Linked DNA regions of Mus musculus: regions 2, 3 and 4 are each reported to be linked to region 1. The links are microRNA targets in miRTarBase. Many come from high-throughput screens and were not tested one by one. Region 1 holds a microRNA gene; each other region holds the end of a gene's coding sequence. Distances are between the middles of the regions.

Evidence for each region. Region 1 holds the annotated microRNA mmu-miR-466n-5p (GUGUGUGCGUACAUGUACAUGU, at 3,363-3,384, opposite strand). A microRNA usually pairs through its seed, bases 2 to 8, with sites in the 3' UTR of a target mRNA and lowers its output. Matches are read on the target gene's strand: a 7mer-m8 pairs with bases 2 to 8, a 7mer-A1 pairs with bases 2 to 7 and ends in A, and an 8mer does both.
Region 2: the mRNA of Trp53i11 is a reported target of mmu-miR-466n-5p. Seed matches in the 3' UTR shown: 7mer-m8 at 5,033-5,039.
Region 3: the mRNA of Csf2ra is a reported target of mmu-miR-466n-5p. Seed matches in the 3' UTR shown: 7mer-m8 at 971-977.
Region 4: the mRNA of Epas1 is a reported target of mmu-miR-466n-5p. Seed matches in the 3' UTR shown: 7mer-m8 at 4,842-4,848, 7mer-m8 at 4,712-4,718, 7mer-m8 at 4,650-4,656, 7mer-A1 at 3,494-3,500 and 7mer-m8 at 3,351-3,357.

The regions. Positions count from the first base shown.
Region 1 is chr2:10,509,694-10,517,142 of GRCm38, reverse strand. Mir466n (microRNA 466n) reads right to left here and starts at 3,402; the gene lies at 3,309-3,402. All of the region lies in intron 10 of Sfmbt2 (Scm-like with four mbt domains 2), which reads right to left. Mir466d (microRNA 466d) reads right to left here and starts at 5,176; the gene lies at 5,081-5,176. Mir669m-1 (microRNA 669m-1) reads right to left here and starts at 4,353; the gene lies at 4,256-4,353. It also overlaps Mir669m-2, Mir669o, Mir466g, Mir466h, Mir669a-2 and Mir297b, and 3 more genes.
Region 2 is chr2:93,197,913-93,205,361 of GRCm38, reverse strand. It overlaps Trp53i11 (transformation related protein 53 inducible protein 11), which reads right to left. Exons shown (of 8, transcript NM_001025246.2): 4 at 7,041-7,099; 5 at 6,775-6,823; 6 at 6,371-6,467; 7 at 5,904-6,005; 8 at 3,605-5,576. The coding sequence ends at 5,443. Tspan18 (tetraspanin 18) reads left to right here. Exons shown (of 10, transcript NM_183180.2): 10 at 940-3,602. The coding sequence ends at 987. Among named protein-coding and RNA genes, the nearest start is that of Trp53i11, 14 kb to the right of the region's middle.
Region 3 is chr19:61,218,066-61,225,514 of GRCm38, reverse strand. Csf2ra (colony stimulating factor 2 receptor, alpha, low-affinity (granulocyte-macrophage)) reads left to right here. Exons shown (of 12, transcript NM_009970.2): 10 at 95-191; 11 at 301-382; 12 at 482-1,113. The coding sequence ends at 511. Among named protein-coding and RNA genes, the nearest start is that of Csf2ra, 6.6 kb to the left of the region's middle.
Region 4 is chr17:86,829,028-86,836,476 of GRCm38, reverse strand. Epas1 (endothelial PAS domain protein 1) reads right to left here. Exons shown (of 16, transcript NM_010137.3): 14 at 7,377-7,449; 15 at 6,994-7,167; 16 at 3,067-5,526. The coding sequence ends at 5,375. Among named protein-coding and RNA genes, the nearest start is that of Epas1, 79 kb to the right of the region's middle.

The DNA.
Region 1 (7,449 bases):
GCTTGTATGGGTATGTGTGTATGTATATGTATACTCATATACACACATGCACATGCACACATACATATACACACAGGCACATACACTGGGGGGGGGGGGCGCCATCACATGAATCTGAAGCTGATCCCTACCTAATCATGAATTTGAGAATGAATTTCCACTCCTGATCCTCCTGACTCTGGCAAGCATTTTCACCTTGTGAGTGAGAGCACCCACTGATCCAGCCCTGCATAATCTCTCAAACTCTAAGTCACATACCTTTAAGGCCTGACTCTGGCAAGCACTTTGACCTGTTGAGTAAGAGCATGCACGGGCACAGTACTGCATAATCTTTAAAACTCTTAGTCACATATTATGCAAGTAGATGAATGCAAGTCACCATGTGTTTGTGTGTGTGTTGCATGTGTGTGTGTGTCTGCACATGCATATCCATATACATTCATGAACATGCACACACATGTAAGCACACGTGCACATACATGGGTGGCATCAAATGAATACCAGGATGATCTCTAAATGGAGTTTGAACTCCTGATCCTCCTGACTTTGTCAATCATTTACACCTGGTGATTGAGACCATTCACTGTCCCTCTACTGCATAATCTCTAAAACTCTAAGTCATATATCATTCAAATGGATCGATGAGTACCATTCCTATGTTTGTGTGTTTCTGTGCTTGCATTTATACATGTGTGGATGTTATATATATTCATATACACACATGCACACACAACTATACACACGTTCACATGCATGGGGGGAATCACATAAATCACAGGCTGATCTCTAAGTCCTCATGAGTGTAAGCATGCATTTAAGCTCCTGATAGACCTGACTCTGGCAGTTGTCTACACCTGATGAGTGAGAACACTCACTGTCCCCGTACTGCATAATCTCTCACCTCTAAGTCACATGTTATTCAAATGGATCTAAGAGTGCCATTAATGTGTGCGTGTGCATGCATGAATATGTGTGCATGTATTTATATGTATATCAATATATATATACATGTACATGTACACACAAACACACATGCACATACATAGGGGTCATCACATGAATGCCAGGTTGATCTCTACCTCATCATGCAGTGAACATGAATTTGCACTCCTGATCATCCTGGCTCTGGCAAGGGGCGTCACCTGGTGAGTGAGACCTCTCTGTGGCCCAGTCATACAGAATCTCTAAGACTCACATATCATTGAAATGGATCGATGAGTGTCAATTTTCTGTGTGTTTGTGTGCATGTTTGTATGGGTATGTGTGTATGTATATGTATATTCATATACACACATGCACATGCACACATACATATACACACAGGCACATACACTGGGGGCATCACTAGAATCCGAAGCTGATCCTGGACTCATGAATTTGAGAATGAATTTCCACTCCTGATCCTCCTGACTCTGGCAAGCATTTTCACCTTGTGAGTGAGAGCACCCACTGATCCAGCCCTGCATAATCTCTAAAACTTTAAGTCACATGTCATTTAAAAGTATCAATGAGTGCCATTCGGGGTATGTGTGTGTGTGTGTGTGTGTGTGTGTGTATGTGTGTGTGTGTGTGTGTGTGTGTGTGTGTGTGCCTGTGTGTATGTGTTTGTGTGTATTTATATGTATATTCATATGCACACATACATTAGCACACAAAACTATGCAACATGAACATACACTGGGAAGGAACCCATAAAGCCAGGCTGATCTCTAAGCCATTTTGAAGTTATTCATAAATTTGAACTCCTAATCCTTCTGAATATGGGAAGCTTTTTCACATTGTGAGTAAAAAGTTTCATTAGCCCAATACTACATAATCTTTAAAGCTCTATGTCACACATCATTCAAATGTATCAATGAATGCCATTCCATGTTTGTGTGCTTGCATTTACATGTATGTTTATGGTATGTATATTTATATACACACATGTGCATACACAGGGACGTAAACACACATGCACATACACGGGTGGCATCACATGAATACCAGGATGATGTCCAGCTGAAGTTAAGCATGAATTTGAACTCCCGACCCTGCTCAATCTGTAATATGTTTGCACATGGCGAGTGAGACCGTTCACTGTCCCACTACTGCATAATCTCTAAAAGAATAAGTCACATAGCATTCAAATTAATGGATGAATTCAATTCCTCTGTGTGTGAGAGTGTATGTGCTTGCATTTGTGTGTGTGTGTGCGTGCGTATGATATATATATTCACATACACACAAGCACATGCACACACAAATATACACACATGGACATACATGGCTGAGAATCACATGAATCACAGGCTGATCTTAAAATCATCATGAAGTTAAGCATGAATTTGAACTCCTAAAACTCCTGATTCCAGCATACATTTTGACCTGGAGAGTGAGATCACGCACTGTCCCAGAACTGCATAATCTCTAAAACTCTAAGTGACATATCATTCAAATGGATCGATGAGTGTCATTTGTGTGTGTGTGTGTGTGCCGCATGTGTGTGCATGTGTCTGTATATGCAAAATCATATACATACATCCACATGCACACACACGAAAACACACATCGACATAAATGGGTGGCATCACATGAATGATCTATAACTGAAGTTAAGCATGAATTTGAAATCCTGATTAACCTGACTCTGTCAATCATTTACACCTGGTGAGTGAAACCATTCACTGTCCCCTATTGCATAATCTCTAAAACTCTTAAGTCAGTTATCATTCAAATGGATTGATGAGTGTCATTCTTGTGTCTGTGTGTGTGTGCTTGTGTTTATACGTGTGTGTGTATGTTATGTATATTCAAATACACACATAAACATGCACACACAACTATACACACATGCACATGCATGGAGGAATCACAGGCTGATCTCTCATGAGGATAAGTATGAATTTGAACTCGGGATACTCTTAACTCTAGCAAGGATTTTCACCTAGAGAATGAGAGCACTCACTGGCCAAGTACTGCATAATCTCTAATATGCTAAGTGACATATCATTCAAATGGATCAATGAGTGGCATTCGTGTGTGTGTGTGTGCTGCATGTGTCTGTACATGTATACTCATATATATACATTCACATGCACACACCTGTAAACACACATGCACATACACGGGTGGCATCACATGAATACCAGGATGATGTCCAGCTGAAGTTAAGCATGAATTTGAACTCCTGATCTTCTTGAATCTGCAAATTGTTTACACATGATGAGTGCGACCATTCATTACCCACTACTACATAATCTATAAGACTGTAAATCACATATCCTCTGTGTGTGTGTGTGTGTGTGTGCACGCACGCGCATGCAAGCGCACATGCACGTGTGTCTATGTATGCTCTCATGTATATGCATATTCATATACACACATGTACATGTACGCACACACAAACACACATGCACATACACAGGAGCCATCACATGAATGCCAGGCTGATCTCCAACTCATCATGCAACCAACATGAATTTACACTCTTGATCATCCTGAATCTGGCAAGGGTCTTTACCTTGTGAGTGAGAGCATTCATTGGCCCAGCACGGCATACTCTCTAAAACTCACATGTCACATGTCACATGTCACTCAAAATGATCTATGGGTGCCATTTCTGTGTGTGTGTATATCTGTGCATGCTTGTATATGTTTGTGTGGATGTATATGTATATTCATATACACACATGCACATGCACACAAAACTATACACACATGCAAATATATTGTGGGGAACCCCATAAAATCAGGCTGATCTCTACTCTCTTTTGAATTTATTTATGAATATGAATTCCTGACCCCTCTGAATATGGCAAGCTTTTACATAGTGAGAAAAACTTTCATTTGACCAGTACTACATAACCTTTAAAGCTCAAAATCACATATCATTCAAACATATCAATGAATTCCATTCCTTGTGTGTATGTGTGCATACGTGTGTCCATATACATGTATGTTTATGTTATATATATATATATATATATATATATATATATATATATATGTATATATATATATATATATATATATTCATTTACACAGATGTACACGCACACACATGTAAACACACATGCACATACATGGGTGGCATCACAGGAATACCAGGATAATCTCTAACTGAAGTTAATCATGAATTTGAAATCCTGATTCTCCAGACTTTGTCAATCATTTACAGCTGGTGACTGAGACCATTCACTGTCCCACTACTGCAGTCTCTAAAACTCTAAGTCACCTATCATTCAAATGGATCGATGAGTGCCATTCCTGTGTGTGTATCTGTGCTTGCTTGTATATGTTTGTGTGGATGTATATGTCTATTCATATACACACATGCACATGCACACAAAACTATACACACATGCACATACATTGGGGAGGATCCCATGAAGCCAGGCTGATCTGTACACCATTTTGAAGTTACTCATGAATTTGAACTCCTGATCCATCTGAATATGAAAAACATTTTACTGGTAAGTAAGAAGTTTCATTGGCCAAGTACTACATAATTGCTAAAGCTCTAAGTCACATATCTTTCAAACATATAAATGAATGCAATTTTTTCTCTGTGTGTGTGTGTGTGTGCTTGCATATACACATGTGTTTATGTTATGTATATTCATGTCAACACATGCACATGCACATACAAGTAAACACACATGCACATACATGGGTGGCATCACATGAATACCAGGATGATCTCTAACTGAATTAAGCATGAATTTGAAATCTTTATCCTCCTGACTTTGTCAATCTTTTACACCTGGTGGGTGAGACCATTCAATGTCCCCTATTGCATAATCTCTAAAACTCTACATGACTTATCATTCAAAGGGATTGGCGAATGCCATTCCTGTATCTGTGTATGTGTGCTTGCGTTTATACGTGTGTGTGTATGTTATGTATATTCAAATATAGACATGAACATGCACACACAACTATACACACATGCACATACATGGAGGAATCACATAAATCACAGGCTGATCTCTAAATTCTCATGAGGATAAGTATGAATTTGAACTCCTGATACTCTTAACTCTAGTAAGCATTTTCACTCTAAGTCACTTATCATTCAAATGGATTGATGAGTGCCATCCCTGTGTGTGTGTGTGCGTGCGTATCTATGTGTGCGTGTATGTATATGTATATTCATATACACACATGTACATGTACGCACACACAAACACACATGCACATACACAGGGGCCATCACATGAATGACAGGCTGATCTCTACCTCATCACGCAGTTAACATGAATTTGCACTCCTGATCACCCTGACTCTGGCAAGGGGCGTCACATGGTGAGTGTGACCTCTCCCTGGCCCAGTCATACAGAATCTCTAAGACTCTAAGACACATATCATTCAATAGAACAATGAGTATCCATTTTCTGTGTGTTTGTATGCATGTTTGTATGGGTATGTGTGTATGTATATGTATATTCATATACACATGTTCATGCACACATACATATACACACAAGCAAATAGATTGGGGGCATCACATGAATCCGAAGTTGATCCCAGACTCATCATGAAGTTGAGAATGAATTTTGACTGCTCATCCTCCTGACTCTGGCAAGCATTTTTACCTTTTGACTAAGAGCACTCACTGGCCCAGCACAGCATAATTTCTAAAACTCTAAGTCACCTGTCATTCAAAATGATTGATGGGTGTGTGTGTGTGTGTCTGTGTATCTGTGCTACTTCTATATGTTTGTATGGATGTATATGTATATGCATATGCACACATGCACATGCACATAAACTATACACACATAAACATACATTGGGGGGAACCCCGTGAAGTCAGGCTGATCTCTATGTCATTTTGAAATTACTCATGAATTTGGACCCCTGATCCATCTGAATATAACAAACATTTTTACTGGTAAGTAAGACGTTTCATTGGCCCAGTAATACATACTCTTAAAGCTCTAAGTCATATATCATTCAAACGTAACGACGAATGCAATTTCTTCTGTGTGTGTGTGCCTGCATATACACGTGTGTTTATGTTATGTATATTCATATCAACACATGCACATGCACATACAAGTAAGCACACATGCACATACATGGGTAGCATCACAGAAATACCAGGATGATCTCCAACTGAAATTAAGCATGGATTTGAACTCCTGATCCTCCTGACTCTGTGGTTTACACCTGGTGATTGAGACCATTCACTGTCCCACTACTGCATAATCTCTAAAACTCTAAGTCACCTATCATTCAGATGGATCGATGAGTGTCATTCCTGTGTCTCTGTGTGTGTGTGTGCTTGTGTTTATATGTATGTGCATGTTATGTCTATTCATATACACACATGCACATGTACACAAAACTATACACCCATGCACATACATGGGTGGCAATCACATGAATCACAGGCAGATATCTATATCCTCCTGAAGATAAGCATGAATTTGAACTCCTGATACTCCTGATTCTAGCAAGCATTTTTACCTAGAAAATGACAGCACTCACTGGCCCAGTACTGAATAATTTCTAATATTCTAGGTGGCATATCATATAAATGGATCTATGAATGTTATTCGTGTGTGTGTGTGTGTGTGTGTGTGTGTGTGTGTGTGTGTGTGTGTGCACGCTAGGGTTTATATGTCTATGTATATGTTATGTATATCCATATAGACACATGAACATACACACACAACTATACAAACCTGCATGTACACTTAAGGCATCACATGAATCACAGGCTTATCTCTAAATCATGCTGAAGATAAGCATAAATTTGAACTTCTGATACTCCTAACTATAGTAAGCATTTTCACCTAGAGAATGAGAGCACTCACTTGCCCCATACTGAATAATCTCTACTACTCTGAGTGGCATATCATTTAAATGGGTCAATGAATGCCATTCCTGTGTCTGTGTGTGTGCTTGCGTTTATACGTGTGTGTGTATGTTATGTATATTCAAATATAGACATGAACATGCACACACAACTATACACACATGCACATACATGGAGGAATCTCAGGCTGATCTCTCATGAGGATAAGCATGAATTTAAACTCCTGATACTCTTAACTCTAGCAAGCATTTTCACCTAGAGAATAAGAGCACTCACTGGCCAAGTACTGCATAATCTCTAATATGCTAAGTGACATATCATTCAAAGGGATCGATGAAAGCCATTCTTGTGTCTCTATGTGTGTGTGCTTGCGTTTATACGTGTATGTTATGTATATGCAAATACATGCATGAACATGCACACACAACTATATACACATGCACAATCATGGGGCCATCACATGAATCACAGGCTGATCTCTAAATCCTCATGAAGGTCAGTATGTGTTTTAACTCCTGAATACTCTTAACTCTAGCAAGCATTTTCACCTAGAGACTGAGAGCACTCACTGGCCAAGTACTGCATAATCTCTAATACTCTAAGTGACACATCATTCCAATGGATTGATGAGTGGCATTGGTGTG
Region 2 (7,449 bases), 83 Mb from region 1:
GAACCTACACCGTAGCGGAGTAGCTGTCAACTTTTGAGTTACTACTCAGCATTCCCTTCTCACTGCCCCCCTGCCCAGTTCAGGGATGCACTCTGGGGCAGTGAGGCCAGGTAGCCTAATGTGCAGCCCTCACTCCCTGCTCTTTGGGGACCCTTTCATGGAAGCTCTGGTCGCCTGGCACTCTGATGTGCCCTTGTTCAGGGTCCTCTGTGCCTTGTCTCTCAGGATACCAGTTCTGTGTAAGTCACAGGAGAAGTACAGGCATCATTCATTAATTCCGCATGCATATATTAAGCTCCTGCTGTATGTGCCAATACTCCTGGAAGTGGACAAAGCCTCCTGTGAGAGCTAAGACCAACAAGAGGCACACAGATCTTCCTGAGGCTGGGCAGATTTCAAGGATTTGCACATAGCCTTGCCTCGATGTAGCCACAGGTCAGGGTTAGGGAACTGCAATCTCTGGAAACCTCACCAGCTTCCGGTGAGCTATCGAGAGCGCAGGGGCTTAGAAGCAAGGGCTGGGTGGGGGGAGGGAGGGGGGAAGTGTGTCTCTGCTCAAGCTAGGTTACCCCCACTGAAGCTGTGTGACCTAAATCAGGTTGTAAGACATCTCCGACATCTCCATGCCTCACTTCCTGCTGGTTAGAAAGGCTGCTGCTAACAGCATTGGAAACCTACTTTACATGGTAAGCTCTCGGTACACACTCAGGTGCCCAAGAAGGGTTGTGCTTTGCTTAAAGTCTCTGCCAACCCAAAAAAGACAGATTTGAGCTGTTTAAACAGATGACTTGCTTTCCAACGCCTGTTTTTTACCCAAGTGGCGAGCAGATGCTTGCCCCGGGTAGTGTCACAATCACGATTCCCCTCAGGAGGTGTGCTGGGCAGCCCCTCGACGTGCACCCAGTCTGACTCCAGATCATCTTCTCCCTTTCTCTGCAGCTCTTCCTCATGGTCTTTGCCATGTGCCTCTTCCGGGGCATCCAGTAGGCCTTGGCCTGAAGACACTCAGCCCACCACTGCCCAGAAGCCAGCCCCTTCTCTTCCCTGTCCTCTGGCCCCAGGGGCGGAAGCAAGGCCAGCCCAAACGGCCAGAAGCATAGAGCTAATTTTTAAATAAACAAACAAACAAACAAAAAAGACAGACATGAAGGGGCCTCACCTAGGCTCTAAAGCAAGGGGCATGGGCTCTACAAGGACCTAGGGCTGGCCTGGGACCAGCTGTTCCTGAGACCAAAGGTTCATCAGCCTCAGAGCCCCTTGGCCCTGTCAGACTGGAGTGTCCCTTGGCCCGGATCACCTCTCTTAGCATTTCCAGGATCAGAGCAACCAGGAGGTAGAAACACATCCTGGAGGAGGAGCCCGGTCCTCAGGCCCCAAGGAGCCGGCTTTTCACAACACAAGGACAGACTCTGCAGCACCATCTGCTGGAGAGCGAAGCGGTCCCTGCTCCCGCTGGCTGAGGGTGGCTGTGTGTGGACACTGGATCAGAAGGTGGCCCTTTCATTTCCGTCCAGTCACACAGCATGTGCATGACAAGGTCATCTCCAGGCTGCTGTCGCTCCAGCCAGGACTCCACCCCGATGTAAACTGGCCAGGAACTGCCTGCATCCAGCTCTACAGTCCGTACTGTGTCCACTCTGCCCTGCTTGTACCTCTGTCAGAGATCCAACTGTGATACATCACCTGTCCCCGTGGGCCATGCCCCACCCCTGTTCTCCCAGGTGGAAGACACCCCAGTATTGTTCATTTCTCTCTTTCTACCCAGAGCTGAGGCTTGAATGTGTTCTTCAAGGTCCCTGCCAAGAATTCACCCCTGCATCCCTCCACATACGGATGGATCTCACTACCTCCCAACTCAGCCTCCTGCCTTCAGATGCTCTGATGTCACCATCACCTCCGCAGACAGAAGGGGTTTCCATTTTTCCGTCTGTGTACCCCTTCACTCTCTCTCCTTTCTAGAGGTTAAGGTCATGCCTCTTGTCTGCAGACTTAACCCCACAGCATCTCCTACCGTGACACCTTCTGACCTTTTGCTGAACATTTATTTTGTTAGTCTCTCTAGGCTCAGATTACCCAGACTAATAGGTTCACAACCAACCAACCAACCAACAGACACACACACACACACACACACACACACACACACACACACAAACACCCCAGACTAATAGGTTCACAACCAACCAACCAACCAACAGACACACACACACACACACACACACACACACACAAACAAACACCCCAGACTAATAGGTTCACAACCAACCAACCAACCAACACCCCCCCACACACACACACACACACACACAAACTTGAACTGCAGGCTAGGTTAGCAACTAGTTGCAAGATGCCTGACCCTGCCAGGACCGTGTTGAATCCATTAGTGTTGTCTGTCAGGATCTCAAATTTGATTAATTATGTCTGCCAAGGGCACAAAAGGGGAACAGTGGTGGAAGGAACAGCTAGGTGTCTGCTCTCCTCTCTCAGATGGAAGAGCCTGACCTGAACTCCAGCCTTCCTTTGCCCTTCTGCCACCTGGGAGTCATAGCCATAGCCTGTTCTATTCTGCTGTCTGGGTGCAAGGGGGGCTACTTCTCCCATTTTCTCTCCTCTTTATGTGGTCCTCACCCAGCCTGGCCTTCCGGGGAGTGGGTGTCTCTGAATGCTATACGGAAGTTGTCTTTATGACAGCTTAATTGGCATCCCCATAGTAAGCTCCCTAGAGGCTGAGTCACCAGATCAGGGGGCCCCTCTGCTGGCTTGCACCCCCAGACTAAGAGGACCCAGGCTGACTCAGAACCCAGCACGTACTGGACTCCAACTGTCTAGGAAGGCAAATGGCTTGGCTATTGATTGGAAGTTCATGGCTAGGTTGAGGACTTAGCCCAACCACAGCGGCTGCCACCCAGAACTAGCCCAGGCTTCCAGAGATGGGCAGGGCTGGGACAGGGAGGGACTGAGAAGCCAGATATGGAGCCTAGGCAATTCCAGGGCAGATCAGAGTCCCTCACCAGAACTTTCCACACTTACGCTGAAGCGCTCCCAAGTAGCCCTGATTCAACCCAGCTTCTCAGCATCCTCATGGGGCCAGACAGACACAGTCTTCACCCTCTGAGCTTGCTGGTAGCCATTGCAAGGCTGTCTGAGGTCATCCTGGTGGGGCTTGGTGAGCTGCTCTGTGTACTCCCAGAGGAATGGAGGGGAGCTCTTCCTTCACCCCAAGATGCCTCAGCCAGTAGTGAGCAGAACAGCCACTTCCTGTCCCAGAGCAGTGGCCTAAGGGACAGCTGTATCTGACAGGCGAGGAGCTAAGACTGGACCTGTGGCTCATGCTCCCCATTATCCTGTCCCAAGCCCCTGGCCTACCTGGGTTCTGAACCCAGCACCTTCATCCCCAGGAACTCTGATACACACACACACACACACACACACACACACACACACACACACACACACACGTCATATGCTAAAGTCTATTTTGGAATTTGTAAATGTCCCTTGCAGTAGGAAACAGAGCTAATTTATCATTGTATCTCCCAAGTCTCCCCTTTTTATATTCTATATTAAGAGAAATTTTGTAATATAAAACAGGACACCACGCAGATTGTTTCTCATTGGTTGTTTTTTGTTGTTGTTGTTGTTTTCTTGTGACTGTTTCTTACAAAAAGAAAAAGGGACCAAGAATAAATAGTGACCATGACAGAGGCAGTCTTGGGGGCCAGGCAGAAGCATGACAAGAGGAGCTGGGGATGGGGTGGGGGAGAGCAGTCAGGGCACTCTGAGCCCAGACTCAGAGTGGGGCTCTATCTCCATCACTGCCTCCTTCCAAGCAGGTGTCTCCCGGAGGCCACATATGCCTTGACCCCACCCACCTAAATGTATCACTGCAGTTTAACCAGGGTGACCTGGGCTCCTGCTGCTGAGGGGAAGCCTGGCGGATGTCCCTGCAGGCTGCGCAGGGCTGGCGTCTTCCATTTCTACGACTACCTCCCTTGGGACTGTATCTGTATTTGTGGAGGATTCAAGATGATAAATCTTCAACACCTCTGAGAATGGTGTCAACAAATGTCACCTGGTCTACGGTAGTTGGGACTGTACTAAGAGCTGGCAGTGGCAGGGTCCATGGTCCGAGTAAAGAGGTGGGACTGAGGGACTGGCACCAAGCCAGTGACAAGAGGCAGGTATACACAATGGGCCCTTCCTGAACACGCAGGGAATCGCTACTCTGCCAGACCTTGGTTACAGAAGCAGCCCCGGCCACTGCTGGGCACATCCTCCACTGAGTTCCCTCCACTAGGCAAAGGCCATGGTCACAGAGCACTTGGCAGCAGGAACAACCGAGCCCAGGGAGGCTGTGAGCCCAGGTGCCCTAGAGAAAGATTCCTCGGGTATAGGGGACCACCCCCTTGCAGAAGGGAGAAGCCTCGGGCCAAATCTCTTAGTGTGCTTGCTGCTGAAGGGTAGGGAGGTGCTGGGAGCTAGGGCCAAGGGGAGGGGCCACACAGGCTGGTGGCACCAGGGGTGTGTCTTCAGCTCTAGAGGCCCACTTAGGGGCTGCTAAGGGATGGCAGACTCTTGAATCTCCTTCCGTTGTTGCATGTGAGCAGCTATTGGCTTTAACCCGTAGGCCTTGGGGCAGCCTCAGGAGGGGATCTGGAGGAGGCACTGAGCCAGGTGTGTAGCCATGCAGGCCTTGGAGGCCATGCCGAGGAAATGTCCCCACTTGTCCTCTCCTCAGAATTCCTCATGCACTAGGAGCCTATGGGCAGCTAGGAGCCAGGGACTATCAGGCCTGTGGTACATTGCCTAACCCTAGCCTGTCGGGAAGGGACTCTGGTGCTCTGGGACGCAGGCGGCCAGCCAGAGAATCAGAGTACCCTCCAGCAGGCCAAAGAGAGAGATGTGCAGGCTGAGGCTGGGGAACTTGGCCCAAGGGAGGCAGTCACTCCCCTTGCTAGATGTCCTCAACTGGATCTCTAGAAACACCGTGTGTGTGTGTGTGTGTGTGTGTGTGTGTGTGTGTGTGTGTGTGTGTGTGCGTGTGTGATGAGGGACTCACACATCGGGTTTCTGGATGGGGAGAAGCTGAGAGCCCCTGCTGGGGCCGACACAACCTCCTAGAAAGGGCTTCCTGGCAGAGGAACTCACCTTGACTCAGCCCAGACCCTAAAACTTACTCTAGACTCTGCCTGTTAGAGTCTAGAGGCCAAGAAACACAGGGCAAGGAGTTGTCCCTGCACAAGGGTGAGGGGTGGGGTGCAGAGGCCACAGCCTGGTCTGTCACTCCTAGAATCCCAGGAGACCCAAGATGACTCCGTGGAGTGCCTGGGAGGGAAGGAAGGCGTGTGCACCCTGCCTGCCTGCAGGCCTGTCTAGGACCCATGGACAGTGAAGTCCCCAGCTGCTCGGGCCCAGGTCCAGGCCCAGGCAGGTCCCAGCCTGCTACACTTTTTTGGGTTTCCGGCCGACTTGGTAATAGTAGTAGATGCTGACAATAACAAAGAGGAGGCGGCTGGCCAGGAGCAGCACGGTCCCCAGGGACATGAGGCCCGTCTCAGCAAGCGTGGCAGTGACCACTGTGAAGGAAGTCGGGGGAGGCAAAGGTCAGGAGCAGACACGTGCTTGAGCCTCTCCCATCATGACGCTAGGCTAGGCTGAATACCCTCGACCATCCCTGTGGTGAGTGGGACTGCAGGCTGACGACCTCCAGAAGCCTAACACCAGCCTAGGCCAGTCTGCTGCCCCCAAGTGGCAGGTGCCTAGAAGTGCATCCTGAGTGTCAGGCTTGGAGGGAACGGCTGGGCTGTGGATTCAGGACACTGGTCTATGTTGTAGGAGCACCCAGTGCTCTGCCCTTCTCTTCCTGCACCCTGATAGCCTTCCCACCACCCTACACCACTCACCCAGGGACTGCACCCCGAAGTAGCAGGCCTCAGTGAGCAGAGTCCAGCGGATGATGACCTTCTCGGCTGTGTAGAGTGCGTTCCACATGATCAAGGAGATGCCTGTTGGAATCAAGCACCGGGGCAGCCTGATCCCTAGCCCAGGAGTCCGAACCCACTTATTCCACAACACCCACTTCTCAGACCAGACGGCCCCTCTTCCGGTCCTCAGCTCTTCAGCTATAGCTTTCCCCCCAGAGACAGCTCACATTGCTTCTAAAGCCCTATCCAACCCAAGCCAGGTGCTCATCTCCCCAGGACTTGGTATCTTTATCTACACAATGGGGCAAGGGCCTCCAGGCCCAAGCTACCTCTGCCATTGCCAGGGCAGTGAACCAACTACATGCATTCTAGCAATGGCCACAAGGTGGCAGCACAGACACAGATGAAGAGGGCTACCAGGCTGCTGGAGACCCAGCAATACTCACTAAGGAGGGCACCACCGTAGAGGCGGATGGGGGTCTTGCTTGTGACTTCAGCCCCATCAAAAACTGCATCGTAGAGCTGATCAGGGAGGGCAAGGGCCTGTGGGCAGCAGGAGGAGCACAGGGTCAGCTATGAGGTGAGACAAATGCTAGGGACCTCCTTGGGGCAGCATCCAATGCTGGGATGCCCAGAGCCCAGAGCCCAGAGCATGTGTGCTGGTTACTTTGGGGGCACGGCACACCAGTAATGGACAGGATGTCCCGGGAGTTGGCCTAGACCCTGAAGTATGGGCCTCAGAGTGAAGACAGCAGCAGCTGGGGTAAGGGAAAGAGCCACACACACACCCCCACCCCCATCTAAGTCTCAGGACCTACTTGCAGCCTGGGCGGGGACACACAGTACTCACCATGATGGCCACACTGGAGAACAGCATAGCAGAAAGAAACTGCCAGACCCTGGGGAGGTTCCGAGAAGACAGTTACAGCCACACTCACCCTGACCCCCACTGCCAACCCAAACGGGGGGTGGGGGGGAACCCTGTGCAACCCAAACAGCCAGGGCTATTTGAGGAGGCAATGAACAGTGTGGATGTAATTCAGAGCAAGGCCCAGTCACGTAGGACCTTACACATACCCGGGACACAAAACCATCCAAACGAGACCTACTGCTCACCTGAGCCCCAGAGGCTCCCGCACAGCAAACTTTATCTCGTTGCCCAAAACCTGGCTGATCTGTGGACACACAAGTCAGAGGCATCAGGGAAGAAGTCTTCAGTTTCAGCATCTCACCCACCCACCTTCCTCCCAGCTCCTGTGGACACCTGGGGGCCATCAGAACATCCCTGATTAACATAAATGTTTTCCCCAATGCAAGCTCAACCTCTCCTGCCTCCCTTGGTACCCAGACAAGAGAACTGAAAAGAGGTGGTAAGGAAAGAAACTCAGGGTCTGCCCAGCAGGGGCTGGAAGCCTGGTTCTGTGGGTCACTGATATAACCTTAAGGAAGTTACTTAGCCCCTCTATGTGAGTCTTAGCTTCCTCACCTGTACAATGGGTCAATAACCACATGGATAACCAGCAGA
Region 3 (7,449 bases), not on the chromosome of region 1:
TGGAGGCCCCGCCCACTCCCCGGGAGACCCGCCCTCCGCGTCCACTGCGAACGCGCTACTTCCGGTCCCCTGACCTCTCCCTCCCACCCCACAGAGGCTGAGGACACGCGAGTGCCCGGTGCGCTCCTGTATGCAGTGACAGCCTGCGCAGTCCTACTGTGCGCGCTGGCGCTCGGAGTGACGTGCAGGAGGTGGGGCGACGGCGGGGGCTGAGGCAGGGGGATGGCCGGGATGGAGAGAGTGAGGCAGGGGGATGGCCACTGTGAACTCTGCCCTGCCCTGCCCTGCCCTCTCCCTCAGGTTCGAGGTGACGCGCCGACTCTTCCCGCCCATCCCAGGGATCAGGGACAAGGTGTCCGACGACGTGCGAGTGAACCCTGAGGTCAAAAGTCACAAGCGCTCGTGGTGGGGGTGGGGCGCGAGGCTTGTCCCCTGTAACCCAAGGCGTGACCTCTGACCCCCGTCCACCCCCCCCCCCCAGACCCTCAGGAAGGACCTCCTGCAGCCCTAGACGTCCCGCCCCCAACGTGACTGACAGGAAGGACTTAAACTTCATGACATCAACTGATGTCATGAAGCGATGCTGATAGACGTCATCGTGACCGCTCCCCACCCCCACGTCTGGTGTGACTGGACCCCTGTTGCCCTGTTCATCAATCACCAAAGTGGGCGTGTCCAGTCTCATCCTGTCAATCACCCTGGAAGGGCATGTTTAACGACATTGATGTCACCGTGATATCACAGTCCAACCAAATCCTCCTCTATAGCCCCGCCCACCCCGACAGGAAGCACAGGTGACTGGGAAGCCTGCCACTGTCAATCAAGGCCGCCCATCCCAAAAAAATCAGTACTCGTGGCCATCCTCCTGCCTCAGTTCCAGGGATGGCAGGGACAGCGTGCATATCCCCACCGTAATAGTTTGCTCAGTTCTTAACAAACCCTAACCCTTAATATTTTACCTTAACAGCCAGCACACACACACACACACACACACACACACACACACACACAGACACAAACTGTCATAAAATCCAACGTGCCTTCATGATCAAAGTTCGATAGTCAGTAGTACTAGAAGAATCATATGTCTGTAAAATAAAAGCCAGAACATTTTCTGCTTTTGTTTTCTTTTGCCCCAGATAGGGTTTCTCTTGGTGTAGCCCCGGCATCCCTGCCTGGAACTTTCAGTGTAGGCCTGGGTAGCCTCAAACTCACAGAGGTCCTCTCTGCCTGCCTGCCTGCCTCTGCCACCCACACAGCCCGGCCGAAGCTAGGATCTTTTTTTCTTATTATTACTTATTTATTATTACTATTAGTTTTCAATGTAAATGTGTGTGTGTGTGTGCGTGCTCTATCTGCTGCCTTATATGACTGCATGCCAGAAGAGGGCACCAGAACCTAGGAGAAGCTACCATGCAGGTCCTGAGAATTAAAAAAAATAAAAGAAAAGAAAAAAGGAAATTCTAATTACATAGAAGGTAGATATCTGCCCAGCTGTCAGAGTGCTGTTTAAGGCTTACTGTAAATAATAAAAATTGTGTGTCTCTTATCCAAAAACAGAAGGGAGGTAGTGCACCTGCATGTCTGTTGTCTGCATGTCTACTTCCTTGTTCTGTCACTCGGTTGCACATTGACCTCACAAAGATGAAAGGCGACAGACATGTGGATGGCAGCCATCTTGTCCTCTGACTAATCTCCCTCATCAAGATGGAGGTGGCTGGCTGTCCTGAGACGTATTGTTCCAGGTCACTTCTGTTTCTCCCCCTTCTTTTCCAGCTACTAGTGGAACAGAACTTAACTGAATCAAAAAAAAAAAAAAAAAACCAAAAAACTGAGCACATAGACAGTACCATTTACCATAAATAAAACAAAAGCAAAATCCATCAAAGTCCATAGTTCTGAGAAGGTCCCTAAATATACTGAAAGACTCCGAGAGGAGCCCCTCGCTCAGTCCTTGGGACAATATCGGACACCCAAGAACTCACGAGAGACCAAGCTTGATGCAAACCACATGAGGCTTTATTTGGGGAAAGCCAGAGCTCTGGGGACGACTCATATCCCACGCAGGGGTAGAGGAGTCAACCTCAAGGGGAAAGAGGTCCCAGTTTTTATAGGCCCTCAGGGGGGAAAGGAGTAGGGGGTTGTAGGGGATTTCCAGATCTAAACAATGTCTATTCTCAAGAAATGGGTATGGGAGGGGTACAAGGAAAGAGTCTGGTGCAGGTGTAGCAACTCCGGATTGACCTGGCTGTGGTTGCTGGGGAGATTCTCTGACTCTTTCCCAGCAGCCAATATCACAAACACCTGGCAATGGGCTTCATCAGTGGGCACACACATGGGTTCAAGGAACGGTCAAAAACATTGGCAGACACACGGGTTCAAGGAGTGGCCAGAGCATTGTGCACCTCTATTTTTCTAAGTCAGTGAAGCTAGTTCTGCTAGCAATGAAATCTATCTTGCCAATTTCAGGGTTTCTGTGACCTTTTATATTCTGTCAGGATCTTTCAGTACTAACCAGGATTTTTGGCTATTGTACTTCTGCTTCTGGCTAACTGTTCTTACCATTTGAAGTATGTCAACCTAGAATATGGCTTTGGTATTTAAAACTCACCCTGAGGGCTAGAGAGATGGCTCAGCGGTTAAGAGCACTGACTGCTCTTCCAGACTTCCTGAGTTCAATTCCCAGCAACCACATGGTGGCTCACAACCATCTGTAATAAGATCTGATGCCCTCTTCTGGTGTGTCTGAAGACAGCTACAGTGTATTCACATAAATAAAATTAATAAATAAATCTTTTTAAAAAAACTCACCCTGAGAAAGGTTTGGTGCAACCCTGGGATCCCTAACACCAAGCACTACTGCCTGCTGGCTAATAGAGATATTCTATTGGTTTAAACCCATGTCCTAGGAGTCCTCTCTCATGGACATCCCCATAACACTGCTGCCTGTAATGCTGTGGATTTCTCCTGTTTTAGTTATTTAACTGGCAGAGAAAATGAATACAATCTAGACCCTAGACCCAAACCATAGTCTTTTGTACAAGGCTAAGTGCAAATGTTCATTTGAGGGGTGTATGTTCTCATGGGAAGCCATACTTTAAAATCCCTGATATCATGAAGGTGTCACTCTTTGTTGTTGTTGTTGTTGTTGTTTTGAGGTAGGGTTTCTCTGTATAGCCCTGGCTGTCCTGGAACTCACTTTGTAGACCAGTCTGGCTTTGAACTCAGAAATCTGCCTGCCTCTGCCTCCCAAGTGCTGGGATTAAAGGTGTGTGCCACCACTTCCCAGAGAAGGTGTCACTCTTAAACATTAGGAATACAGTTACCTTTCCTATTTTATCCAGACATAGATTGCCACTACACTGACTCAGTTCTGAACCTGGTGAGAACTGAATCCCAGGCACCAGGGTGAGAACTGTGTAATACAATAACAACAGAGCATAGAGTGTGTGCTTTCATGGACTTTCTGGGGCCCAGGTCCTTGTTCTAAAGACTCCATTGGATTGTGAGTTTGTAGCATTTCCCCTACAGCCAGCTCATCTGAAAAGACTCTTGTCAGCAGAACAGTGGCAGCTGCCCAGATCTCTAGACATGTTCACTAGGTGCCCCAGAATTTTCCTGGACCAATATTGCTGCTGCTGAGAACAAGCAAAACAAAACAAAACAAAACAAAACAAAAACATTATTCTAAGTGCTACTATATCATTGTCAGACTCCATTTAATAATAAAGTCAAGATCCCAGGCCAGAGTGGAGCTGGGTACTTCCCAATAGTTAGACAGCTTCTATTGTAAACAAACAGTTGCTTGAATTCACATATCTCAGGTACAACTTCTCCTTCTTGCTGGCATGGTCAAAAAAGTATATGTTCCCATGCCCAGAGACTAACTCCTAACTGATGGAAACTCCTTGCTCAATCTCTTATGTCAAAATATGATTGGATAGTGTCCAGCCTCCTTCCCCCTTGCTCTATGGTTTTATCCTTTAAATATGTTGCAGAACATCCCTTCAGGGTCATACTTCAGTTTCCAAGTCTGTTCTGCTGCCTTGATCTATCAGTAGCAGCTTGATTACAATCATTTTTTGTTAGCTGCCTAGACCTCATATTTGAGTTATGTTGGATTTAAGCAAATCCCACAGTGCTACAAGGCCTCATCTCACCAGCCTCTCACCTGTTTGCCTCTTGTTTTACATTCTATTTCTCTATCATGGGATTTCTCTGTAGCACAGGCACTATCCATCCTGTTGGTCTCACCCTACCTCTTTCCCTCAAGACATTTATGTTCTTGAGTCCCATTCTCTAGGATACGGGATTAAATCAGGATTCCCACTTACTGGGTACTATGCTCCCTTACTCTGAGTCTTTTCTGTGTGTTTGTTGCTGGGGATTGGAACCTAGAGAATGCATACTAAGGAAATGCTCTGTTATGAGCCCAGTCCCCATATAATATGAGTGTCAAGGCTGAGCACAGCACCCTAGATGTCCAAGTTCTTCCTAGAAGCAAAGGATTGAATGTCCAGTGGCATAAGCAATGTAGAAAAGGATATGGCAAGCAAGTTTTCTAAAGGTGGTCCACCTTTTTGAATGACCTATTATGGGGGAGTTCTGAAAGGCATAGATCCCAGACACTTCATCCAAGAATTGCTTCTTCCTATTGATATGCCTTTCATGTTACTCTTACATATCCTAATGATTCCTGAGCATCAACCTATCCTATCAGACAAATTTTCTGCAGATCAACATTAAGAGGAACTTTCATTAAAACAACACAATTTAGATGAATCAATGACTTTACAGAATTCCTGCCTTGGTTCAAATATTTTTAGGAAGAATGTTTAATGAGATGGTTTTAATTGTTTTTTTTTCCAGAAAGATATAATAAAGTTAGAATCAAGAATAGAATGTGTCCCCTCCTCATAGAATAGTAAGTAAAGGCTGCATAATAAGAAATAGAATGAGCTTTTATAAGTTGTACTAAGAAGAGAAATAGGATTGGAACAAATTAATGATCATGGAAAAAACAATCATTTCAGGTCAGGTGTGCACTAGTATAAAATAAGGCCATATGGGGCCTGGAGAGGTTTCTCAGCAGTTAAGAGCACCTACTGCTCTTCTAGAGGTCCTGCGTTCAATTCCCAACAGATACATGGTGGCTCACAACCATCTGTAATGGGATCTTCTGGTGTGTCTGAAGGCACTTAGAGTGTACTTACATCAAATCTTTAAAAAATAAGGCCATATGAAACTGTTCCTTTGAACATACGAGCTTAGAGAATGAAATATTGTCTTGAACTTACTAACATCCTTCTGTTACTCCCTTTTGTGTAACATTCTATCTGTGACATGATTTTATTTTTTGTCTAAGAAGCTATAAAAAGGCTGAGTCTAAAAATGAAGGGTGACTGTTGGGACTCTGCTCTATCCAATAAATGTGTATATATGTATATATGTCTGTCTGTATAAAATGTATGTATGTATATCTATCTATATATCTATTTGTTTACATACGTAGGTCTATGTGCTCTACTTCCCTGTCCCATTCTTTCTTGATCCTTTCATTCAGTCTGCTCTTTGACTGGAGAATTGAAGACGCTGATATTTAAAATTATTTATACGTGTGTGTAAGTAGTGGTAATCCTGTTGCTGATTTTTGGTGTTTTCTTCTTAGTATATTTTATTCTTGAATAATTAAGACTTTTTATAATATGACTCTCTCTGCAATGCTGAATTATCTCTTCAGGGAAACATACTGTTTCCTATATGTCTCTTAAGTTTTAGTTTATTGAATATAATTTGTTTAGGCTGTTTATGTTGTAGAAAATCTCCATTCTCCTCAAATCATCATAGTTTTGCTGGGTATATTATTTTAGGTTTGCTGTTATAGTCTTTAAGACTTTTATGCATTGCTACAACCTCTGGGGGATTTCAGAGTTTTCACTGAAAAATCAGTTGTTAGTCTTCTCTTACAGCTTTCAAGATACATTCTTTGTTATATATACTTAGTGTTTTATTAATGCTCAAAGGATTTTCCTTCCTTGTCTTATCTATTTGTTGTTCTGTGTTGGGGGGAGGGGGTTGATGTGCATAGAGGTGCCTTTCTAGTGTGGGGAGTTTTCATCTATAAGCATGCTGAAGATATCCATGCCATTGAATTGGTGTCTCTTTCATCTATGCTAATAAGTTTGTGTATTCGATGGTGTTCCATATGTCTTATGACTTCCTTTCGTGTGTGTGTGTGTGTGTGTGTGTGTATGTGATATGTTTGCATGTACTTTTGTGTTTCTGCCTTAATTTCTCTTAAAGCTGGACTGCAACATTTTTTTGTTTTGTTTTGTTTTGTTTCATTTTTTGAGACAGGGTTTCAATGTGTAGCTTTGGCTGTCCTGGAAAATCACTCTGTAGACCAGGCTGGCCTGGAACTCAGAAATCCGCCTCCCTCTGCACCACCACTGCCTAGCTTTGGACTGCAACTTTAAGGTGAAATAAGCTTTTAGTTCCCAAGTTGGTTTTAGTCATGGTTTTTTATTCGAACAGAAAAAACTTAGTAAGAAAAACATGAAGCTGAGAGATTGTTCTGTGACTTGAATTTGTACTTGTTTAATACACAAATGCACAAGTATTATATAAAATATTAAAATCTCTAAGTGTCACACTGGAGAGATGGCTCAGGGGTTAAGAGCACTGACTGCTTTTCAAAAGGTCCTGAGTTCAAGTCCCAGCAACCACATGGTGGCTCACAACCATCCATAACAAGATCTGGCACCCTCTTCTGGAGTGTCTGAAGACAGCAACAGTGTATTTACATATAATAAAGAAATTTTTAAAAAATCTCTAAGTGTCATCAGGTCAGCTATAAAAACTGAAAACGTATTCTAATTACAGATTATTTATCAAAGATGGTTGACAGGTACTTTAAGAAACAATTAGAATCTCATAACTTTATATGCCTGTAAGATGCATAGATGAAATTTTCATAAAGTATGCTTGGGAAAGTCTGAATCCTCTCTTCTGGGATGTGATGTTCAGCCCTGTCCTACGTACAGCTGATCAATTATGTCCATTGTTTTAAGGAGAAAACCACAGTGAATTTAGTGAATCTGGAAACAACATGAGGTTCTTTAAACAGCCATTTTAAAGTGTTATATTATTTTTCTTGAATAATGCAAGGTGCATTTTTATCAGCCTTTAAAAATTTGGAATTTCAAGTCGATTATATTGATTTTTCTTAAGAATAATTCACACTATTCATTTTTTAAATATTGTATTGAAGAGACTTGCTATTATAGCATTGTATTTTATGTAAGGGGACATACCATGCTTATAGGCACTGGTGAGAATGCTTTATTCGTTTACATTAACTATATGTATTAATATCAAATAATTCTTGATTTGAACTCCTATAGGTTTAATTATGCCAATGTCTACAAGATCCTTTATCTATTTGTTATT
Region 4 (7,449 bases), not on the chromosome of region 1:
TACCCAGAGAAACCCTGTCTCAAAAAACCAAAAAAGCAAAACCCCCCACCCCAACCCCCCAAAAGCCACACACACACACACACACACACACACACACACACACACACACACACACACTAAAGTTTAAGACAGGCTTAAGGGCACAGTCTGGCTCAATGGAATGTGCTTTGGATAGATTGGATAAATTTTTTAAAAAAGTGAACGGCAAGAAAAAAAGCAGGTTAAAAACTGTACAGATTTTTACAGCCAATATTTTAAAAATTGTATTTACTTACTTTATGTATATGGTGTTTTGCCTACATGTATGTAGATGTACCATATGCAAGCCTGGTCCCCATGGAGGCCAGAAGAGGACATCAGACCATCTGTGTCTGGAGTTATAGAGTTATGAGCCCATGTGGATGCTGGGAATTGAACCTAAACCCGCTGGAAGGGCAGTCAGTGCTTATAACTACTTAGTCATCTCATGCTTACTCCTACAGTACAAACTTTAAATACTGTACTCATGTTGACTCATCCATCCTGCCATCTATACCATAGTAATGTTAACAAAGAGGGAGAGAGGCTCGAGAAACTATCACTCTTGACTTCTCTATAGTGGAACCTGATTGTTTCTTGCCCTTCACTTTTTTTTTTTTAAATCTATCCAAAGTACATCATTCCATTGAGCAGGACTGTGTTCTTGAGCCTGTCTTAAACTTTCCTGTGCGGAGGTGAAGAAGCTGTAGGGATTGGCTGAGAATTGGAAAGTACCCTTTATAAAGAACAGGAAGAGGCTGGAGACCTATAAGGCCGTGCTGGGGAACAGTCAATGTGTGGGAGGTCCTGTCTCCTGGCCAAGAAATTGGCCCCTGTCACTACGATGCTGGCCTGGGTTCTGCTCCTAGACACGCCTCTCCATCTCTATATGATAAGCAGGTCACTTAAAGGCTTTGTTTCCCTGGGATTTGTGATAGGCAGGTCACTTAAAGGCTTTGTTCCCCTGGGATTTGGTCTCCTTTTCGAAAATATCTAGAAGTTGAAAACTTAGAGTGGAGTAGGGTTCAACTCTCTCTCAGTATCTCCAGAGTTGACTTTGCTGACCTGGGAATATCCCCGCTTCAGGAGAAAAAAGAACAGGTTAATCTGACCACTCCATTATAGCGTATACATTCTTTTATACATTCTTTTTCACAAAAGCAGAGGAGGAGCAGGCAAAGGGAAAAAAGGCAGGAGGTGGTTGAAGCTTAGATGTCATAGAGGATACGGGTCTGCATCATATCTTCAGGTAAACCACAGCTCAGCATTTGACCAATCTGTCCTGCTTTGAGGGGATGGGGTTGGCCAAGCTCCATGGGGTGAGGAGGAGCCCCTGGTGCTCCAACCTTGGGGTCTGAGTTCCCCTCCCAGAAAGTGTTCTGATTTGGAGGCTACTGTGTTAACACTGAGGCTGAGATAGCCCCACTGAGAGGAGACTCCTACAGCCAGGAGGAGCTCAAGAGGCTCAACGGCTCTCACTTTCACGCAGGGACCTGATCCTGCTGCTGTGTGCGCCACATGCCGGAACATACCTGCTCCTAAACCACAACGTAAAATCGGGAGGAGACAAGCCAGTCTTTCCTGAACACCTTGATACAATATGTGAAGCAGCAGTGGCTGACGTGGGCACTGCGTCTTAGGCTCACATACCCCAAAGAAGAGCAAATTCCTACCAACCCATCAGGAACAGTGGCATCTTATTTTTCCCCTTTGCTTGCTTGCTGAACTTTGAAGTCAGAGGCATTGAATACTGTGCCCACTCCACCAGGGCCTGGAGGGTCAACCAGAGCTTTAGGTATGGGGTTAAAGCCAAAGAACAGCATTATAGGCCCCTCTGAAGTCACTGGGGACAAGGAGAGTGCTCCTCCAGGAGAAGTCTGCCATTCCCAGGGGAGCCGAGGAAGAGGAGAGCCCAAGATGGTGGATGAAGGTGAGGGGGAGTTTGGCCGGGCCCAGAAACTCCAACTCAAGATCCAGAGATCAAGTCAGGAGGAAAAGAATAGAAGCAAAATCCCCACAATGCCTAGAGTTAAACTAAGACTGACTGGAGTGTTCTTTTTAGATTTGTTATTTTATGTGGTATGTTTTGCTCACGTGCATATATGTGTACAATGTGCCTACCTGGTGCCCATGAAGGCACCAAAAGTAGACATCAGAGCTGCTGGGACTGGGTTATAGATAGTTGTGAGCCGTCATGTGGGCGTTAGAAATGAAACCCTGGTCTTGTACCAGGGCAAGTGCTCTTACTCGCCGAGCCGGCGGCTCCGTGCTCAGACAGGAGTTTTCTATTTGAAAATGTAAACAGGCCCTAGCATAAGCCATAGCTCACAGCCAGCTCTGGGTCTTGAGCCTTGTGACTGTGTGACATGTGGAAGTAAGTCACTGTGGGTCCTAGTCTCATCTACGAAATTATACGCATGGCATTGCTTAGGCCGATGGAGCTAAGGAGATCATTGTGAACCCAAGACATCAGGAGCACAAGGGATACTGGGACAGCTGATTATATGTAGGGCTGACTGTAAGAGATGCTGCTGGCCTTATCCCTCCCCCTTGATCACCAGAAGAGTGGCTTTCACAGAAGCCACATCTGGAATAGGGACCCATCAGGTCCATGCCTAGCAGTAAGCTTCTGCTGTGCTCGGTCTCTGCCTGAAGACTTTTTCTTTCCTACCTACTATACTACCTAGGAAGGCCTTGACTCTACAGTGATGCCCTTGGCCCAGGGTGCCCTTCTCCTTGGACCTCAGTGCCTCGTGTGGGTCTCTGAAGTGAGAGCCCATGGTTTCTTCCCTTCTTTCCCAGCATGCAAGGAAAGGGCCTTGGCTAGACACATAGTAGCTACAGAAATGCAGAAGATAGCGACCAGCTCCTGGGCTCAGGCAACTGTCAGGCACAAACGCCTTCCTTCATTGGACTTCCTGTGGGGTGGTCTCAGGCTGGTCTAGTTTAGCTCCAAAGTCCATTTCTGTGTGCTCTTGAGTAAGAACCCTATTTTTCCAACGGCACAGTCCACGGTAAATGCACAGAAAACAAGAGGCACGAGCAGGATAGGATCAGAATACTTTAATAAGATATCAGTGTCAAAATACATTTCCTTATAAAGTTAAGCTCCCGTACAGTTATAATGTCGTCAGTAGGAATTTGACAATGCAGTAATGGTCATGAAGTTGTTACATGGACAGGAAAGGTTAATACGAAACTCGGAATATTTCTCAGAGTGTCTTTAGTAGAACTGCAAACGGAAATGCCCTTAACGCTGAGGCAACAACACAGGAAATCAAACACCAGCATTTGCATGTCAATAACCCTTCAAGTTCCGTCGCCCGCCTGCGTGTGTGCCAGGCCACACTGTGCACCGATGCGCAGCTTGGACAACACCATGCCTAGGTAATGTCAGGTAGACTGACCTTCAGAGTTAATTTTTGGTTTGAGCAGCAAGTCCCCTTAGGCTTACTGTACTCTTGCCTGATGGGCTTTGTGTGTGTTGAGAGTTTTATTGTACCCGAGTCAACAACACCTTATGTTGATTGGTATCGCAAACCCAAAAGGTGCTTCCCCTCCCCCTCAGTGAGTTACAAAGTGCTCTTGGAACACGATTTTCAGTGCTTTCTACCTGTTCAGTGTCACACTTCATGTGACTGAGACCTCAGCTAGAGGCTGTCCTTGGAGGTCTGCCCGCTGCTCGCCAGCAGGGGGCGCTGCACCGTGGCTTCGCAGGGTCATTTGCCCGGCAAGCTGTGATCTGTGGCAGGGTGTAGGGCTGGTCAGACCTGCTACCCTCCACCTGGCACCCACTCCCAGTTTAGCTCCAAGGACTAGGTCACTACATTTGTGAATCCTAACTTGCTTTATGAATTCCCATTAAAAACATTTCATGGTAGCTGTGCCAACCCAAACGTGCCGCAGGAGAGAGATTGGCAGTCTCGTAGCTCAGTGTGCTAGAAGGGCTAGCAACATTGCCTGAAAAAAAGTGAGAGCGCTTCCTTCCAGCTCGCCTGCGACATGCCCTCAGAGCCTGCAAGCCCCGAGCCCTCATAGCGGCAACAGCACACACGTACATAATACACTGAGAACACGAAAAGATAGCTTGCAATGTTCCCCCTTAATGACTTCTCTCCTGGGACTGTCACACCGCTGCCATATCACAAAAGCAAAAAGTCACCAGAGAGAAAGAAAGAGAGATCTGTGGCGGTTAGTCAGGCCTGTGGGAGTACTGCACAGGTCTACAGTGTCCAGAACACTGAGAAAAATAAAATTAACAGCCCTAAAAGATCTTAAAAGTGATTCTTGTGAGCAAGATCCCATTTCTAAGCTTTTAGATATTACAGAGTACCCATATATATGATAAACACTAAACCCGGATATAAATTCTTCTTAAAAAACCAAACAAAACAAAACTCAGTTTTGCTTTTGAATAATAGTTAAAAAAATCCACTGGACCCGGGGAGAGATGGGGGCATTACCAGACAGCTTCGAACACCACCGCGTGGCTTCACAGGTAACCCTAGAGTTGATTCTTCACATTGCTTTTTTGCCCCATACTAAGTCGTATGAAAAAACCGGAGCAAAGAGTTGGCTTTAAAAACACAAAATTTTACAATATGGTGATTAGATGTGTGTGTGTGTGTGTGTGTGTGCACGCATACGTGCATGTGTGTATATGTGTGTAGGGGTGTGTGTGTGTGTGTGTGTGTGTGTGCACGCATACGTGCATGTGTGTATATGTGTGTAGGGGTGTGTGTGTGTGTGTGTGTGTGTGTGTATATGTGTGTGTGTGTGTGTGTGTGTAGGGGTGTGTGTGTGTGTGTGTGTGTGTGTGTGTGTGTGTGCACGCATACGTGCATGTGTGTATATGTGTGTAGGGGTGTGTGTGTGTGTGTGTGTATGTGGGGGTGGGGGAGAGGGAGAATCCACAGTGGAGGAAAATCCTTTTCTCTTTGGCAACAAGAACAAGAACACTTGAGTTGAATGACGCCAAAGCTTTCCTAGGGAGAGGCACCAGCCACCATGCTTGTTAGTATGGATATGAATGAGAGAGAGAAAAACCTTTGGGGAATATAAATTAGAAGTAATTCAAGGGAGGGAGGGAGGGGGAAATCTTATAAAATTTCAGAACACTTTCATCAACGGTAAAACATAGCAGGTACAACAACTATGTATTTTTAAAACATGGATAATAAAGTGAGCATGTCAGATAAAGGCCACTGCTTGGTGACCTGGCCAGTAGGCCAGGTTGAGTACATCTCGTAAGAAGTGTGCTGGTGTTAGAGATACCTAATAGCAACACAGATGGAAGTGAAGCTGGCAGGTCAAGACGGCGGGGCAGGCAGGGGCATGCCCGGCCAGAGGCCCTGGCTCAGGTGGCCTGGTCCAGAGCTCTGAGAAGGTCTCTCCCCTGCAGGAGTGTGGAGCTTCCAGGCACGGGCACGTTCACCTCACAGTCATATCTGGTCAGTTCCGGCAACAGGTAAGGCTCGAACGATGGCCCCAGCAGTCGACTGGCCACGCCTGAGAGGAGGGAGAGGAGGGTGTTTTAGAGGACTGGCACACACCTGCTCCGCTGGCTGTAGATGACCAGAGGAAAGGGCATGCATGCAAACAACTGTGTCTCCAGCTTCCAGCAACTTCCGATGCAGCAGCACTCTGGCCCTGGGGCTCCATCCCCTGTTCAGAGGACGGAGCCAGAAGAGGACATGCCACAGCAGTGGTGAGATCCAAAGATGGCTGGAGCGAGAGCAGAGCTCTCTCAGTTTAGAGACAGAGCTGGGTCCCAGTGTGCTCTCCCTTCTGGGGTCCACACTTCCCGTTGCCTGCACTCCTACCAACAGATGCCCTGCCCTTCTTAAATTCACCTCCTTTCGGTCTATGGGCAGAAACGATCTATGTTGAAATTAGTTTTGCTTCGCATTCAACAGCTGGGGAAACCTGTCATTTGCTGACTACAGCTGCCCAGATGTGTATACCGGGGGTGAGTGATGTGTGGTCCTCTCTTTAAACTTTAAACTTTCTCTTTTAAGACTTCTGGCTTGCAAGCCCACCTGCTGGTAAACAACAGAACTGAAATATCAGCCCAGGGCTTTTGGGTTCTTCAGATGGAATTCTAAGAACACAACTATAAATTTTCCCCAACTCTGCTACTGTAGACAAGGCTCTGGAATTTTCTTTCTCAAACCACAGATTGTTTGTGCCGAGCAAAGGCGTCTATGGGAACACTTGTGTGTTTCAGTGGCAATAGCTGAACTTACTGGATCACCAGGCTACCCTCCCATCAGTGAGTCCCCTGTGCAACCTTTCAGAGAAAGCTTGTTACGGTATGTGTATACACTTCAGGCAATGAGCAGCTGAGGAAAGATGTAGACTCTTGGTCTTGCGGGGCCAAGAGCCCGGATGTGATCTGACTGATTACTGGACGATCCCTTCCAGAGCCGTGCACAATCTTCCAGCCTGCCTTTCCAGGGCAGCGAGCTTGTCTTGCTCAGAAGTCCACCACAGCCCTGGGGCCCTTGCCATACCAGCCGCTTCCTTCTACCAAAGCTTCCCCAGCCTGAGACCCACCTTCTGGGGAGCCTGCTTGGCCAGAAGTAACCGTGGCTCTGCCCTTTCTCAGGGACAACAGCCAAAGAGGCCTTTCTTACTTTCTCACACAATCTCAGCTCATCAATGAGGAGCCTGCACCCTCCTGGGCCTTCCTTGTACTTTGAACAAGTCATTGTCAAATCCTTTCTGGGCCTGGTACCATGCAGGCTCTGGAATAAAGAGGAGACTTGGTCCTGCCTAAACCATCTCATGCAGCTTGGCTGATGAAGAGCCCTATGGACTGTAAGCAGTCGCATCAGACCTGAGCAGGGGCTCTGAAGGCAGTCTTGTCCAAACGCAGAGTTGCTTCCTGCAAGTGGCTGCCTCTCAGCTCTCTGGCCAGCCAGGCCACCTGTTTGCATCAGACCCTGGCTATGGTGGGAGTTCCAAAGCACTCACCTGACACCTTTTGAGCTCCTGGAGGACCGTAGTCCTGGAACTGGGAGGCATAGCACTGTGGCGGGAACCCAGTCTTGGCGTTCTCCCCTGAGCTCCTGGTAGATGGTGGCTGGGGAGGTGGCAGGTGTCTCAGTGGCTGGCCCAGGCCTCTCATAGATTTTTGGGTGAATTCATCTGGAGGATCCAAGCCAGAGAGTGAACTGTGGTGCTGTCATTAGGGCAGACAATAGCGCTCTCAGCCTGCTTTCTTTTTCAGAAGTCATGTAGAGACCTCTGAACCGGGATCCTGCTCATGGCATGGATATAACCCATTCTAACAAGGCTCAGGGAATGTGCTCTGAGCCTTCAACCCTCCACCAGACCCCTGGGCCAGGCCTGCTTACCGGGGGCCATGTTCGCACTGATGGTCTTGTCAGGCATCAAAGGACAGGTCCCGCCCATGAGGCTCTTCATACG